Linked DNA regions of Daphnia pulex. The protein of the gene in region 1 purifies or fractionates together with the protein of each later gene. This does not show direct contact. Links are inferred from orthologs where the notes say so. Each region holds a gene or a part of one and is shown on either strand. Other genes may lie near its edges.

What was found. Proteins that work in one complex are often made in the same cells at the same time.
Region 2: the proteins of 60S ribosomal protein L5-like (region 1) and ribosome biogenesis protein BRX1 homolog fractionate together in Homo sapiens (co-fractionation; 3 studies listed by BioGRID and IntAct, with this or other methods). This does not show direct contact. The link is inferred for Daphnia pulex from reciprocal best matches to the Homo sapiens genes RPL5 and BRIX1.

What each region holds. Positions count from the first base shown.
Region 1 is NC_060018.1:3,929,823-3,940,589, forward strand, and holds 60S ribosomal protein L5-like, read left to right. Parts: upstream 1-5,170; 5' UTR 5,171-5,307; coding exon 5,308-5,310; intron 5,311-5,454; coding exon 5,455-5,640; intron 5,641-5,716; coding exon 5,717-5,851; intron 5,852-5,914; coding exon 5,915-6,295; intron 6,296-6,361; coding exon 6,362-6,565; 3' UTR 6,566-6,627; downstream 6,628-10,767. Other genes in the region: fatty acid amide hydrolase 1-like, read right to left, coding at 2,121-2,234, 2,301-2,446, 2,528-2,701, 2,764-2,851, 2,910-2,952, 3,023-3,243, 3,319-3,449, 3,509-3,549 and 7 more; short-chain dehydrogenase TIC 32 B, chloroplastic-like, read right to left, coding at 6,701-6,904, 6,969-7,170, 7,235-7,445, 7,509-7,682, 7,755-7,862, 7,922-8,033; transient receptor potential channel pyrexia-like, read right to left, coding at 8,646-9,538, 9,604-10,178, 10,242-10,767.
Region 2 is NC_060022.1:6,870,194-6,876,044, forward strand, and holds ribosome biogenesis protein BRX1 homolog, read left to right. Parts: upstream 1-3,755; 5' UTR 3,756-3,892; coding exon 3,893-4,003; intron 4,004-4,061; coding exon 4,062-4,217; intron 4,218-4,279; coding exon 4,280-4,400; intron 4,401-4,455; coding exon 4,456-4,580; intron 4,581-4,642; coding exon 4,643-4,778; intron 4,779-4,841; coding exon 4,842-4,936; intron 4,937-4,993; coding exon 4,994-5,293; 3' UTR 5,294-5,341; downstream 5,342-5,851. Other genes in the region: osteoclast-stimulating factor 1-like, read right to left, coding at 401-637, 705-812, 877-980, 1,064-1,181, 1,262-1,308, 1,402-1,435. UniProt on the Homo sapiens protein: Required for biogenesis of the 60S ribosomal subunit.

The sequences.
Region 1 (10,767 bases):
CAACATGAAAGTCACTAAACGACACGAATGCTGCCTATATACAGTCGGCTGATCATTATTTGCTCCAGTTTAGCTGGCCGTCGCTTTGTTCCTGTTATGTAAAAGGGGTGCGGCCCAACCGGACGACAAGGACCGCGCTGAGTCATCCTCATAGACACCTGCTCTCCTCGGCAGGGCTGCCGTTCCCCTTTTCTTTTGATTTTTACAGATCGAGATAAATCAGTTATCACGGGCCGTGTCATTTTTTTTTTATTATTATGGAGAGAATCCGTCGGAGCATTCACGATTACTGAACGGGTTATTTTGTTTTTCGTTCGCGAGATTCTAAACACGTATGTGGTTTTATTGATCAGTTCGATTTGGTGCCAACAGATGACTTGAATTAAAACATTCACATTTTTCAATGGGATGATTGATTTCGATAGACATAGGATCATAGCCCATAAAAATTCCGATGCGATGGCTTTTAATAATGTCGTAAAACTGGAGAAAATCGAGCCAACACCCAAGTTCAGGGTTCATAAAGACGTTCTCAGATACTTTTTTAAAAGCTCATAATTAATCGTATTTTGATAAACACATTATCCCTAGCGCATAAATTGAGAAAAACGATATCGTCTAAATGAGACGGGTGCGGTAATTCTGAGTCTGAGACTTATTGAATATGGGTTCTCAAATCCTAACTTTGTCCATTTTGAAAGCCACGCCTAGAGTATCCGTGACTTTATGAGTTTAAACAAATAAGAAAATATCCAACAATTTTAAGCGTTCAATTTGAAAAGAAGGAAAATTCACTAAAATGACGGATACTAATTTTCTCTGAAAGCAAATCAAAAGTTGATGGAATTACAATATCAAGCAGACCATCCAGAATGCTGGACGTTTGCAACAAAGTATTCTTGTACTTTCTGTTGTTTGCCAACATCTCCATTCGTCTTCGATCGTATCGGCCCCTTGTGTCACCAAAGATGTTATGGATGACTCTCTCGGTCAACTTGATTCGCATCCTGACGGATTCTTCGTTCAACGCCCCCCTGAGCTCGGTCCATTCACCTGCTGGGGGGGAAAAAGAGATCACATTTTCGTCATCCGGCAACTGATCGTTATCTTCCTGTTGATGGCTCTTTTCTTGTGTGACATCATCATTATCAGCTGTTCGCGTGTTCTTTCTCTGCTGCAGCATTCCGGTCCTTCCTGTCCACCCGCGCACTCGATCCAAGATAGCCGCAAGCACCGATTGCAAACAGAAATTGCTTTGCCAGGGTCTAGAAACTGTTGAGTGGGAACTTTGACCGCCGAAAAAATTCGAATTATATTTTGAAAGTCGATTTACGGAAGAGTATCGATTCGACATCCGGCGGCATCCACTGTATAACGGCTAAAGCGAAATTTTGCAATTTTTGAAGGCGGCATAGATTGACGGGATAACGTTCAGAACATTTAGGCTTCACAATTTGGATTTGGGCTCCAAGGGGTCGGGTTTCTTTAAACCGTACACTTTGACGTGCTCTCATGGCTGGCGCGAAATAAACGGACGTGAAATGCGATTTTTTTCTTCCGCGTCTTTTGGTTTCTTTGAAGTCGCATTCTCTCCATGTCGAAGGGTTCGAATCCCTTGACGTATTGGCTTATATTGCAACGAAATTAGAAGTAGACAAAGTCTACGGAACACCTCGTGATGCAGCACAGACTGATTGGGTAATCGACAAGCCGACTGCAGGTTTCCTTTCAAATTTTTCCAGGTCAAAAAGTCAGGCCGTGTAAAACATCCCTCCCTGTTGAACTTTTCGGGAAAACATCAAATGATCGCTTTTGAACGCAAACACATTTTCGCATTTATTTTCAACTGTTTTGTGCTACAATAATAAACTGTAATGGAATGTTAAAATCAATTCTTATCCCCGATACTTAACACAACTACCTGCTTTGATTACTGTAATATCACAGTAAATTTAACATTTGTAAAATCTCTTTCCATAATATCAATAACTATTAATTTCAAAATCTTTTAATTGTTCCATAACCTTTCCTCTAAGGGTCCAAGTGGCTCTTGTAGCACACTGTCGTAAGGACGGAGAAACTAGTACCGCGCAAAGTGCAATGATTACGTAAGAGATAATTCAGACTCGGAAGGCGGAATCCAGGATACTCATAGTGCGAAGCACAACTTCTTCTTGATAGGGAAGACCAATAACTTGGACCGGTATAGGCAAACCAGTAGCTCCCCGAGTAGTCTAGGCAAATAGGAATCAAACGTTACGATTAAATAAAACTCTAAATGATTGATTTTTTTTTCTTACCTTTTTAACAAGTTTACAGACCAAATCTCTGAAATCATAGCCACCATTCATAAGCATATTTTGGTCTTCTTCCATTTCTTTGGTGACGGGAACGATACCAGCAGGTAAGTCAAGGAAATTGTAGAGACACGCATACGCAAATGCAGCTATTAGTCGGAAGAAACCAAAAAATTATTTCATTAGCTAATCCGGGCATAAATAAAGTTTGCAAGCGGTGCACCACTTACGTGTTACACGGCCAGTGTCTTTGGCTAGAGGAGCAGGGCAAGCGAATCCCGGACCGATGCATGTATCCAAGCGAAGATTCCTCCAATCAGCTAGAAAATTCGCTTTATATTCGCTCTGCTTAAGTATTCCATGCCAGAGTTGGTAAGAATGGCGATACTGATGCCCGGCAGCAGCTAATTCGGCGAATGGAGTAAATTTTAGGCCGTCATTTTATGCTAGAAGACTATCGACTTACCCATGAAACATGGCTCGAGACGAGGTGCGATTAAAGCCAGCAATGGCCGAATAATTTGCTTTACAAGGTGCGGTAGCTTCAGTGCAACCTAAGAAGACATTCGTTTAAAAAACTTATTATAGTAAAATTGAAACAGTTCAACTTACTTTGATTTGTAAAACTAACAATGGATCAATGTCATCAACTGAGCTGTAGGAGAAGATCAAATTAAATTATTAGATTCTTTTCCAACTAAACTATTGAAAAGTCGATGACTTACAGAGCCTCCAACACGTATCTGCCTTGATCCGCATAAAACATGCTGATGACAGAACTGATAACGTAATCAACGCGTGGCGGAACAAATGGAATGAGTTCGTGCCCTAACGCCTCCAACTTTTCCTTAGCCACTCGAACAGCTCGTCGGACACCAGGTGTACAGGGGAAGTAGTCGCATTCTTCGTAGTAACCGATCCGTAATTTGTTAGAAAGGCCAAATATCTATTTTACGTTAATAATTTTACATATTACAAACGTTTTCATGGGAAAGAAATATTTTTACTAATAATTTCTTACTTGTTCATTCCAAGGAATTGGAAGCAAATCTGGATCGAAGTATCTCCGGATGTAACCATCGTCAAGGAGTAGTTTGCAGAGCATTATCACGGTTTTTGAATCTCGCGCCAAGATTCCCGGTACAGAAGGAACTACAAAATTGGATTACAAAATTAAAAGAATGTAATGGTTTGAAGGTTTGTTGCCTTACTTCCAATGCAACCAACGGCCGATTTTCTAAATCCTTTGTAGCTAGATAGACAGAAAAATATTTCGAATTCAGGGAAGTGAATAACCAGAATATTGAAATACCTGAGTCTTAAACTGGTAGGTTTAATTGAAAAAACTCCACAGAAAGCCGCCGGAATGCGAATACTTCCCCCGATATCACTACCAATTCCTGGTAAATGTTATACACGATTTTTTTCTAAACTTTATTTCAATATAATATTAATGTATTCGAAGAATTTTACCGAGTAGGGAACCTCCAGCAGCAACTAAAGTTGCTTCTCCACCAGAGGAACCGCCTGGTGTTCGCTCTTTACAAAAGGGGTTTTTCGTAGAACCCCATATCGGATTACTACATCCAAAACTGTTGGTAGGAGACAAAATGAATTTAAACGTACCATTCTAGCTAAACGCAAAACTGCATTGGCAACTATACCTTAACAATGTTTGGGGGACATTAGTTCGGCAAAATGGTATGGCCCCAAGGCCTCTGAGTGCAGAGACCAAAGCGGCATCTTCCACTGCAGATTGATCAATAAACTTCGAAATTCCCGCCGTGCAATCATAGCCAACTAAAAACAAACATAGTGTTTTAATATTATGCTTGATTTTAATATTCTGCCGGCAAAACGGCATACCGTACCGACACTGACGTTATCTTTGACGCTAAACGGAAGACCATGGAGCGTTTTTTTTGTATCAGTGCTAGCGTCCAGTTCTTCTGCCCATTTCTGAATAAATATGCATTGCAATTGCGTTAACATACAAAGGATATACACAAAAATTATTTCAGACTTTTACAATACCTCTGCTTCTTTGATGAATTCTGTGACACAGTTTAATTCTTTTGTTACATCCAGAGCCTAAAAGAAAAAAAAGAGTGATTAATTTTTATCAGTAAAAACACTTGAAGACTTGCTATAGTGATTACCTTTGCTTGATATGCTCTCAGCACTTCCAGACAGCTCAAATCCCCATTTTGAAGCTTCTTTAGCAATTCTTCTATATCCAGCTGGACTATCTCCTTACGCTTTTCAATAACTGGGTCATCATGATTTTTAAGATGTTGTTCCAATTTATTTTGATTTTCTTTGACCTGACCCAGTTTGCGCCTGATTCTTTCTTTCAGCAACCCCTGGAATAATCCCAGAAACATTATTATTACAGAAAAATCATTTTAAAATCACGCGTTGATATCTGTACTAACACACAATGCTTACATACCCTCTTGTTTGTGTATTTTAGAACTTTAAATGTTATGTAAACTAATCCCAATCCAATCAAGACCATAAGGAAATTGGAATCCTTTAACCATTTTGCACTGTCTTCAAAATACATGAAGAACACAAGATTAATCAACACAACAAGGAGAACTAAGGTAAACAGCAAACAGCAATTTTCCTAGGCCCAAGTAGGCTAATATTGCGATTTTCAAATTTTGACAGCTCACAGCTGACATAAGAACAGCAAAACAGCTGAGAGATTGAAAAATGACATTTGTTATTTTCTATGAATTATGAATGTATTGAAGCTTAATACTATCTATATTAATTATAAAATATTTTTTTTTTGTATAAAAATTCAATTATTAAATGAAAAATAATAATAAACAAGTAAAGCGGACTAAAAATTTCCTACTTGGCAACACTGACAGACGTTGATTTCAGCTTTAAGGCCAACCATACCTTTCTCAGTTAAGCAGGGCCTCGACGAGTAGTCGAAGCCACAGTCCGGCCATTTTTCGCCCTTAAACCGAAGCTATTCAAATAATATATCTCCACCATGGTAAGTTTCTAACGTATAACTTTGTGTCAAGTAACACCCTAACCAAATTTAAAAGTTGCATAACGATAGATGTCGTATTTAAGTTGTGATATCGTTGGATTCAATATGACTTGTCATGCCGCTTAACGTGTTTGTTTTTTATAGGGATTTATTAAAGTGATCAAGAACAAGGCTTATTTCAAGCGGTTTCAAGTCAAGTTCCGCAGGCGTCGTGAGGGAAAGACCGATTACTATGCCCGCCGTCGTCTTGTAGTTCAGGACAAGAACAAGTACAACACCCCCAAGTACCGCATGATTGTTCGATTCACCAACAAAGACATTTGTTGTCAGGTAATTTTTGGATCACCCACTGACTGCAGTCTTTTCATGTTTTGATCTTTCAATTTATTTGTGTCTTGTCTTGCAGATAGCGTACGCTCGTATTGAAGGAGACGTGATTGTTTGTGCTGCATACAGTCATGAACTTCCTCACTACGGTGTCAAGGTTGGGTTGACTAACTATGCTGCTGCATACTGTACTGGACTTTTGCTCGCAAGAAGAGTAAGTTTGACCGTGTTGTTGAAAAACCAGTACAATGACTAAACTGTCAACATTTTCCTGTAGCTGTTGAAGAAGTTCAAGTTGGACACCATCTACCAAGGCTGCACTGAAGTTACTGGAGGAGTCTTCAATGTTGAAGATGTTGACGATGGACCAGGTGCATTCCGCGCTTGCCTCGATGTCGGTTTGGCCCGCACCACCACCGGTGCTCGCATCTTCGGCGCCATGAAGGGAGCCGTCGATGGTGGAATTGACGTTCCCCACAGCACCAAGCGTTTCCCCGGCTACGATTCCGAATCCAAGGATTTCAACGCCGAAGTTCACCGTAAGCACATCATGGGTGCCCATGTTGCTGACTACATGCGTCAATTGGTGGATGAAGATGAAGAAGCTTACAAGAAGCAATTCTCTCAGTTCATCAAGCATGGCATTGTTGCCGATACCGTAAGTTCAGTTATTCATATGATTTGCATTAAAAAAACGTAGTTTTTATCTATTATCATTCATCAGGTCGAGACCATGTACAAGAAGGCCCATGAAGCTATCCGAGCTGACCCCGAGAAGCAGAAGTCCAGCAAGGATCCATCCAAGATCAAGAAGAAGCGCTGGAACGCCAAGAGGCTCACCCTGGAAGAGCGCAAGGCTCGTGTTGCCACCAAGAAGAGGGAATTCCTCTCCAAACTGGAGGCTTCTGCCGAAGCCGACGACGAGTAGATTATTCGACTTCGTTTGTCTGTGCTCTACGATCCAATAAATCGATGGATTGCAGCCATGAATCATGTTTTTTTACTTTTTTTCAGTTAGGAACTAGAAAATGAGGTCTTTCGTTTTTGTTTGACACGCTTTTTATTATTGGGAACTTTTAACTTTTCCAAATTCTTCAATATCAAGTAATTTGTGTGTTGCATCCCACAGCTTTAATCGCATACTTGGACAGATTGATTTAGTGGCGGGTGTTGTTATTTTGCAATCTGATAAATAGCAACCGCTGGAGTTTTCCAATTCGGGTGAAAATGCTGTATACAAAACTCGTTGGGCTGCAACTGGTTCTCTCTATCAAAAGTTTTTAAAAATTAAAGTAACATTATTTACTTTTTCTTTTCTCGTATAACTATACCTTAAGTAAGAAGCCAACGATACGAAAACCGATTTTCAAAAACCTTCCATTGGCGTACCAGTTGGATTGAATAACACCCGGATGCATGGCGTAGCACTTGACAGGATAGTTATTTTGTGTCAAACGATCATGGAGCATTTCGTTAAATAAAACCTGTGCTAATTTGGACTGGGAATAAGCCACAAATCTGTTGTAAAAAGACCTTTAAGGGGTGGGGTAAAAAGAAATTATTAGCTGTTTACTAACGACCCTTAGAAATATTATACTTGGCGTTTAAGTCATTGAGTTCTAGATAGCCGAGGTAAGATACATCTGAAGCAACGTTAACGATTCGTGAAGCATAACGATGATGCTTTCCTGCTTCAATTAATCGAGGTAAGAGTAGATGAGTTAAGAGAAAATGTCCCAGGTAGTTGACAGCAAACTGTTGCTCTAAACCGTCTGTTGTCAAGCCATAGGGTGTGAACATAACGGCGGCTGTTATCAAAACAAAATTTGTCTTTAAATGTTTGCCTTGAATAATCACGAGAAAAAAAATACCATTGTTTATGAGTAGACTGATCGGGATGTTTCTGTCAGTGACAACTTTTGCAAAATTTCTGATCGAATTTAACGATGACAAGTCGAGATTTATCCATTCCACTGAATCGGCTGGAATACCAGCTTCTTCCAAATTCTCAAATAGTTGTTGTTTACTTCTTCCATCCCGGCAACCTGTATTACGTTAACAGTGTTTAGAATTTCGTCCATTTTGACAGTAGATTGAAAAGAAAACCTGTTTTGTACCTGCAATGACTTTCATTCCAGAAGCCTGCAAGCCCAGAAGAGTGTAGAAACCTAATCCTCGATTCCCACCGGTGATTATAGCATATTCTTCTCGTCGATTGATAGGATCTGATGAACGAAATGTAAAATATTGAATCACGAATATGGAAAATAATTTCTTTGTTTACCATTGAGTGGTTTCACAGTTCTGCAGGCTTCTTGGAACAATTGTTTTGCACTGAGATAAATAAATTTAACCATGATGTACAATTCGTATACAAAGCTTCGAAAGGCATCCATGGTCACACGAAGATTTAGAGACGGCTTCACCCTGAAAGTTATTTTCCAACGAATGATATCAAGTTAGAAACACAAGCACAGACTGACACGGTTGTGTTCATGAGCCCTGGGCAACACAACACTCTAAGGCATTTTTACTGCCTAACGGTCTTACCGTTGTCATGCACTCATGCGCTTTACAACATCCTGCTGATGGAACATGCTAACTTTTTTCAGTTTTTACACTTTAAAAAATGTTTTTCGTAAGAAACTTTAAATTTCACGATATTCAATTAAATGTAAATTATGAACTTCTCATTCTTTGATTATGGAATAGCAAAAATTGTTTCCCATCACGTTACGGTAACCATTTTTATTTTATCTCGTAGATGTCCTCCAAACGGAGCAAACAAAACGCTATGCTACAAGTTGTACAAGCTCAGACATAATATCACTTCTACAAAAGCTGGATCCATACCACATTTCCCGGATATTTGGTAATTATAATTTTTTTTTAAATAATTAGTGTTAGTTATCGACTCGAGTGTGGAAATTCATGGAAATGAATTGACCATTGAATATGTTATTGAGCAAAAGGTTATATACTGATTTTAAAAATGGGTGGGTGGATCATCAAGCCAGTGAGCTCATTCCAGGAACACTGAAGGATTCTTCGTTAATCATGGAACAATCACAAGAATGCCTTGTCTGTCGTGATCGAGTCGATGGGTAGTTGTATTTGGCCGTCAGCTGCGCGAGTTGATCTTCTATCGTCGAATTTATCGTAACGATTTGTGTCATGTAATTATGGAAGAGTTCGTCAACTCTGTTCATCACTTCCGTAAAGAGCTCTCCGTTATTTGAATCCAAAGGTATCGTTGCAGTTCGAATGATTGGTACGTGGGACGACTTTTGTTGTGCGCCTTTCTTCTTGTTCGCTATCCTTACAGCAATTATTTTCAACAGGCTTTCTTTGATTTCGGGTGGGAAGCTTTTATCACGCGGATCGTTGGGTCGGAAGTTGTAATTTTTTCTGGTTTTGGGTGAGACGACCAGGACATTTCGCCGTATGAATTCACGTCTTGGAACCTTTGACCAGATACTGGAAAAATGGATGGGCCAAGGAAAGAAAACGAAACTTTCCATGCGAGCAATTTGTTTTGTTAATCGAACGAGGCGATCCAGACCAGCCGATTTCTGCAAGCCTTGAATATCGGAGACGGCCAAACCGACGAGTAAATTCATCAGAACGATGACGACGAAAAGAAGAAAAACCAGGAAGACGAAATGGGTTGTTCCGGGATATTTGATTTTTCCCTCGGTATACATGTCGGCGTAATTCATTTCGCCCGTCATCATGACGATCGTCGTCAAAAGTGCGTAGGGCATGTTGTTATAGACACTTTCCGAAGGAAAGAGAACTGCGAATCCTAGAGAAAATCCCACGATGAGACTCATATAAGCCACCAACAGTTTGCCAATGTTCCACGCGACAGTCGTAAACATTTGCACGTACAGACCAAACACTAAAGAAAAATAAAATCAATGAATTAGAGTCTATTAAAAATGGAGAGATAAATCAGAACATTACCAGGAAATCGACCGACGTGCAACATGAGATTAATCCATGCCACGATAATAACGATGGCGGCAACGTGATGTTGCCAATCACCATTATCGGGCTCACCTGTGTGCATTGGGTGAGGGGAAAGGATAAGGATCATTCCAAAGATGGAAATGAGTTGGAAATAGTTCTCTATATCCCTCGCATATTCGTGCGCATTGCAGTAAAGTTGGAAAAATTCCTTGACACCTGTCGCCGCCCCCAATAAGACTGTCAAATACCACAATGTGGTATCCAACTCCATTGGCCAATCAGTGAATGACGTCGAGTTGTTCGTCGTATTGTTCGTTGTTTGCGTATCGTTTACTCTCGTGTTCATTTTAACAACATAAATGGAGTAAATGTTGGATGTCAGGGCGAGAACGTATAAAAGTTGAAAGATTAGCGAGACTACAAAAGTGGTGCGAATTTTCATCCACTTCAAGTGAAGAAAAGCCCCAATAATTGGATGCTGAAGAATGTGTCGTTGTTCGGCCGCCACCAACGACGTCAGGAAACCCATTTCTCCAACATTTTGCTGGTTGCCCCCTGGTACTAAAACTCTAAAGGAAAAACTATATTAAAAAAAAAAAATGTTTAATAATTACAAATAAAAGTCAAGTAACCTTAAATCCAACTTCAATTGACAATCAGGATCGGCTGGCTCGTTGTCGACAACGTCAATAGCTGAATCTAATTTGCGTGAAATGGCTGTCAAGGCGTCGGGTACTCGTCGGACGACTGAGGCCAAAGCCGAAATTTTTGCTCGATTCTTAATTGACAGATCGGCTCCCGAATGGATCAAAAGGATAGCCAATTTTGAATTTTCATTAAACGCCGCTATGTGAAGTGGCGTTTGTCCAAACTGATCCTTTGCATTGACATTAGCTCCCTTGGAAATTAACAACTTGACGACCTCGGTCGACTGACGACATTTGACTACAGCCCCGTGAAGTGGCGTCTCCTTCATTTCATCGCAATTGTCAATTTCCGCTCCGTTTTCCAAGAGTTCTTTAACCGAGTCCACTGATTGAGAAAGGGCCGCCAAATGTAAAGGTGTCCGACCTAGGGCATCCTTGGTGTTGATTTGCGCTTTGCTGGTCTGTAAAAGCAATCGAATGCATTCCACGTTGCCTTCGAAAGATGCCAAGT
Region 2 (5,851 bases), on another chromosome or scaffold:
CCGTGTTTCAGCCCTAACCTCGAGTACGTCTTTTTTATAAAAAAAAAAAGAAAAAAAAATCTCAAACCTTGTAACCTGAATCTGTACGGGAAGAATCAAACAAATTTTGACATAGAATCAAAATAAAATACTTTTGAGAATTTGTTTTTAGGGTAATTTTATTTTTTACTGAATGTATTTATCACCGAAACTAAAAACAATGATTCACAACAATATGAACATTTTACAAGTTGTAAAACAAATAACATTCCTATATGTGAATAAAAAATAAACAAATCAATTTGAAAATACAGCACACATTGAAAGAAGTAAATGTAAAAGATATTTCATGAAAATTTAGTTTGTTAACTTCAGCCTGCTTTTCAAGAAAGAACTGATTCCATTAAGACATAATAATTTATCAGTCAGAATCCAATTCCTCAGCATTACCAAAGTATTCACTAACATTGTTTGATATAAGGCTATCATCATGCTTGGCTATCATATTGATAATCTCAGGATCCCTGGAAAGAGCTAAGGCTTTGTTCCCTTCACAATTTAAAATGTTTGTTTTTGCTCCACTTGAAAGTAGCAAACTAACAGCTTCAATTCTACCTTTCCAAGCAGCAGCATGAAGTGCAGTGTCTCCTAATTTATTCTATGTATATATAAACAAATATCTATTAGATTATAAAATAAATAATAAAATTAGGTAAATTAATTACTTGAGCATTTAAATCAATTTTTTCTGATTGCAGTAATAGTTGCATGCAAGAAATATGTCCTCCATGGGCTGCCCAGAACAAGGCTGTATTACCTGCTTTATCGAGTTGCTTAAAAAAAAATAATGAAACTTCAGCATCAGTTATAACTCCTAAATGGAGCTAATTAACTTGCATTCACAGACACTCCATTGAGAATTGCCTCTTCTAAAAATAAGACATTCCCACGCCGACATGCATCATGAAGGGGCATTGTTATCAACTCAGCATTTTCTTCAACTGACAGAAAATGAAACAGAAAATGTGTTGATTGTTTCCTTAATAACACTTTTCAATGGATAACAATATTTGATTCAAGTTACCATAATTGCAGGGAATTAATCCAGTACAGGTACCACACTTAGCCTTTAGCCAGTTAGGGTCTGAGGAGGATTCCATGACATATAACAACTCTCCTTCTTCAAATGACAGTTCATCAGGCTAGGAATATGAGCATGTTAATTAAGATTATTTCTGAAGCCTTAATTGTTAGAATTGTATAGCAAAAAAATAAAACTTACATGCTGTGCCGTATAGGCGTATAATGCTTTAACGACTTTCACTTGCCCTGTCATGACATTTCAATATTATTGACACATTGACAGAGGAGGCAGGGAAAACTTTTTTAACTGTAAATTGAAGTGTTGAATATTACTAATACCTGGTTTTGGAGGTTTCGGAGGAGGTACATTCATTTTTAATTCAAAGAAAATATACTTTTAAGTATTCACAAGATTTATTTCAATTTAGGTTTTTTCCAAAGTAAAATGGTTTTTCATACGTCCATAAGGCCATGAAGGGGGAATGATAAGGAAGGATAAGGCACGACTGGGGTTTTTTTCATAGAGGGCGAACCTAGCGGAATTTTTTCACTGGCAGACCAAAACACCAAACTGCTTTTCGGCGCGGATAAGAGGATTGCATTGCATGTTGTAAACTTCCTCCCGATTGGCGATTGCATAGAAGTCTAGAACTAATTATTAGGAAATAACAAAACCGCATGCTCAACCTTTTTCGATGCATAATTAGTGGTACAGATTGTTTGCTTATCTCCTGGCAAGTAAGCAACGTAGGCAGTAGGCAATGCAAGTATAAATATTCATTTCTTGAATTCTTTTCAACAATTTTATCTTTCCTTCGTCGTATCGCAGCTTTTCCTGCATTTTATATATCAGAGTGAAAAAATTACATCTGACAAATTTGCTTGTAGCCTATTATATGTATATATTTACTTATAATAGTGCAAAGGGTTTTAGTTTTAATACCGCAAGTGGAAAAATAAATCGACTTATCGAGAAGCTTCCTTTCGCTTCCAATTTCGCACAGCAGCCAACCATATAACCCTGTTTTTTGAAAGCCTTGCCTTTCGTCAGTGGTATGGAGTATGGACTATGGAGAGATGGTTTCCAGCATCCATTTTTAAAAATTTCCCATAAGGGGCCGTCTGCTCATTTTACTAAAAGGTCGAGTTGACTGTTTATATGTCGCAACTCGCAACGTCCTAGATGGCGTTGATTCAACTCGACCTCCATACAAAATCGCTAGTAAAAAAGTAGCAAAGTAGCTTGCCGTCGAATCCCCTTATGGGAAATTTAACATGGTCATTGGCATCCATCTTTCCATACCCTTGCTTTCGTTTATTGTTTAGTTTATTTCCTGAAGAGGCCTTTATCTGTTTGCGAGCATGGCGACATGCGATTGGCTCGAGTCTTGTGTTGGCGAGAGGAGAGATAATATATTAAGGAATTATATAAAATAAATTATTATTAATATTAACTAATTTAAGCTTAGTAATAGCTTAGTTAAGTTAGAGCACAAGTTCGTAATCCAGTGGCCGTCTGAGACAGCATTTTCAAATTTGGAATTGGAACATTTTCCACGAATGGGAATGGAGAAATCAGGCTCTGTCCCTAAACTGCGAAAGCGAAACGCGAAACGCGAAACGCCTAAAATGCGGAAAGGCTGTGCGAAACGGACCAAAATTTTTGGACCGTTTCGCGGGACCAAATGCCGGAGGGCATACTAAAATGCGAAACCTCAAAATGCGAAACGAAAATGTTTTCTTTTCCCCACCAGAGTGCAAATTGACGGATGAGGCCCGTTTAGGCCGCCATGTTTCATGACTCATAGTATATGTAATGTGAATGTATGTATGGATATGAATGTGTGTACTGTGTACACTATATATTAACGAATATTACTTTTCGCTAGAGTTTTGAAAATAAAATGTTTGTATTTCATGGGAAAACAGTCTTATCAAATTAAATTTATTTAGTCGACTCGATTACTCTTGTTTCTTCAAGAGCACGGGGGTCCCTCGGATGAGCTCTTGAATGAGAAATCTCCAATTAAGTCTTTGTGGAATAGAGGCGGAAGAAGCTTTCAGCACGTTTTAGCTGGGTGGCATTTTCAATAAATTTTAATCGAATAGCTATATATATTTAGACGCCGGGCTGCTATCGGCTGATAGTTTTTTCCATTTGACTTGGTCAGCCGATTTTCCTCGGCGAACAACTGTTGAGAGAAATTCCGGCTAAGAGAAACAGATTGATCGAATGACATAGAGAACGTCGACGACGTAACAATGTGTTAATGTACCCCGCTGGGCGCTGTGGGATTATTTTTGTTTAAGACATTGAAAGGGGGGAGCAATCAAATTTTATACACGGAAAATTTAGTTCGAACTGATTCCCGGTAGAGGGATTTTCCCGTGTATGCTTATGGAATCGCGATTGCTCGGATAACTTACTTGATACGCCCCTTGACGAGTAGATTTTTGTGACGCAAGTATGTTAATGGCGTCGTCTGTTGACGTTCTGTTGACATTTCGCACCCACCGATTTCGCATTTTAGTACGGACCCAAGGCCTAAAATGCGAAACAGGGTCCCAACTTTTGGGTCCGTTTCGCACAGCTTTTCCGCATTTTAGGCGTTTCGCGTTTCGCGTTTCGCTTTCGCAGTTTAGGGACAGCCGAGAAATCAGATATGTTTATGAACGCACCCTTAAAACAAATGAAGGCAGTAATGCAGTATACGTTCACTCGCACGTGGTCTTTGTGTCTTCTGCTTCAACATTCTGTCGTTAGTTGGTTCAGAATTTCAAGCTTAAATCTCGAAGTGCCTGCTAACAATTTTTAAGCTTTTACACTTTCATGATGGCGAAAAGAAAGAAGAGCACCATCATGCCGGAATCGAAAGATAACAAAATTGAAGAAACTGCATTGCCATTGGTGCGAACATCAGACGAGCCTGTGACGAAAAAGGTATATGCTAATCTAAAAATCAGTGACAATTTTTTTAATTCATGCTTAAATCAAATAGGCGAAATGGGTGAACAAACAAAGAGTTCTTGTCTTTGCTGCACGTGGAATAACACAAAGAGATAGGCACTTGATGGTTGACTTGCGTGATATGATGCCTCACTCCAAAACAGAAAGTAAATTTGAGAGAAAGGACCCTCTATTTGTCATCAATGAAGTAACATTTTCTTTTCAATTTCATAAATTAAGTACTAATATTCAAATAACATCTTCATGTAGATTTGTGAAATGAAGAATTGTAGTAAATGCATATTTTTTGAAGGAAGGAAAAAACAAGATTTGTTTCTTTGGCTTGCAGATGTTCCAAAAGGGCCTAGTGCTAAATTTTATATTGAAAATGGTCAGTTTATTAAAGTAATAATATGATCAGTACTAAATTTATTATTTTTTACTAGTGCACACAATGAAAGAATTGAAAATGACTGGAAATTGCTTAAAGGGCACAAGACCATTGCTATCGTTTGACTCCAGTTTTGACACACATCCACATTGGTCTCTATTAAAGGAACTCATGACACAGGCAAGGTTTTATTTATATTTTCTTCAGGATGACATAATTTTTTTTTATTTTAAAATTTTAAGATCTTTTCAACTCCTAAAAATCATCCCAAAAGTCAACCATTCTTTGACCATGTTTTCACTTTTACGATAATTGAAAATCGGATCTGGTTTCGAAACTTTCAAATTCTTGAAGAGGATGGTCAGCTTGCGGAAATAGGTATTTTTATTTTTTTTCCCTTTGGTTTCTAAGATTGTTGTTTAAAATGATTCGAATGTATAGGGCCACGATTTGTGTTGAATCCCATCAAAGTTTTCGATGGGAGTTTTGGCGGAGAAACTATTTGGGAAAATTCTAGTTATGTTACGCCAAATGCGGTATTTTTAAATAATCCTTTTCCACTTACAACACATCCTATCAAGTTTCTTCTTTAGTATCGCCGAATGCTGAACTTACAAACAGGATTGAAGTATCGTCAGAAAATTGAGCAAAAGTTGTCGCTGGCAGCAAGACAACCGACAGGAGATCTATGCGATTTGGACCCGCTTGATGAAGAGGTTTTTGAGGACAAAAATGCAGCTAAAATTGTTAAAGAAGTTGCGAGCAATCGTGGTGAAGGTGGGAAAAAAAAGAAAAAAGAGAAGAAAAAGAAGATGAAGAACCCAAAAGCAACTGGCAAGAAAAGAGCTGGAGCTATTTTTAATGAAATCTTGGGTGATTCTGGCGATGAATAACTGTTGTCTTGTAAACGACGTACTGAATACAAACCGTTCTGACGCTGATATTTTCTTGAGTTCCCCTTTTAAATAACAAAGACAATAAATTGTTTAGGTTAAGTAATTTTTATTTCATTTTATTAGAAATAAACATGAAATGATTACAATAAAAAAAAACAGACAACTTAAAATGTCTTCACTTAGTGAACTGAAATCAGAAGTTTTTTATGTCTTAAGCGAGTCATTATGTGATTGGTCTGATTTCCCACTCAAGCACAGATAAAGAAGTGGTCTTGATATGTGACTCCTGTGTGTTTGTCTTTGGATTAACTCATGGTGCATGGTGGAAACAGTCTATAAATTTATTTGACATATAAGACAGACCATATAGACTGGGTGGAAAGGTGGATTGGCACTGCATCACTATACACAGGACTGCAGGACAGCGAGGACTGGGCTGGGACTAAGTGAGTTTACACTTGAAAAATTAAAATACCTGGTATCTGGTAACCTGGACCTGGAGTACATTAGTAATGGGTTGGACATTTGGCAATGCTGTTATTGACTGTTGGATTT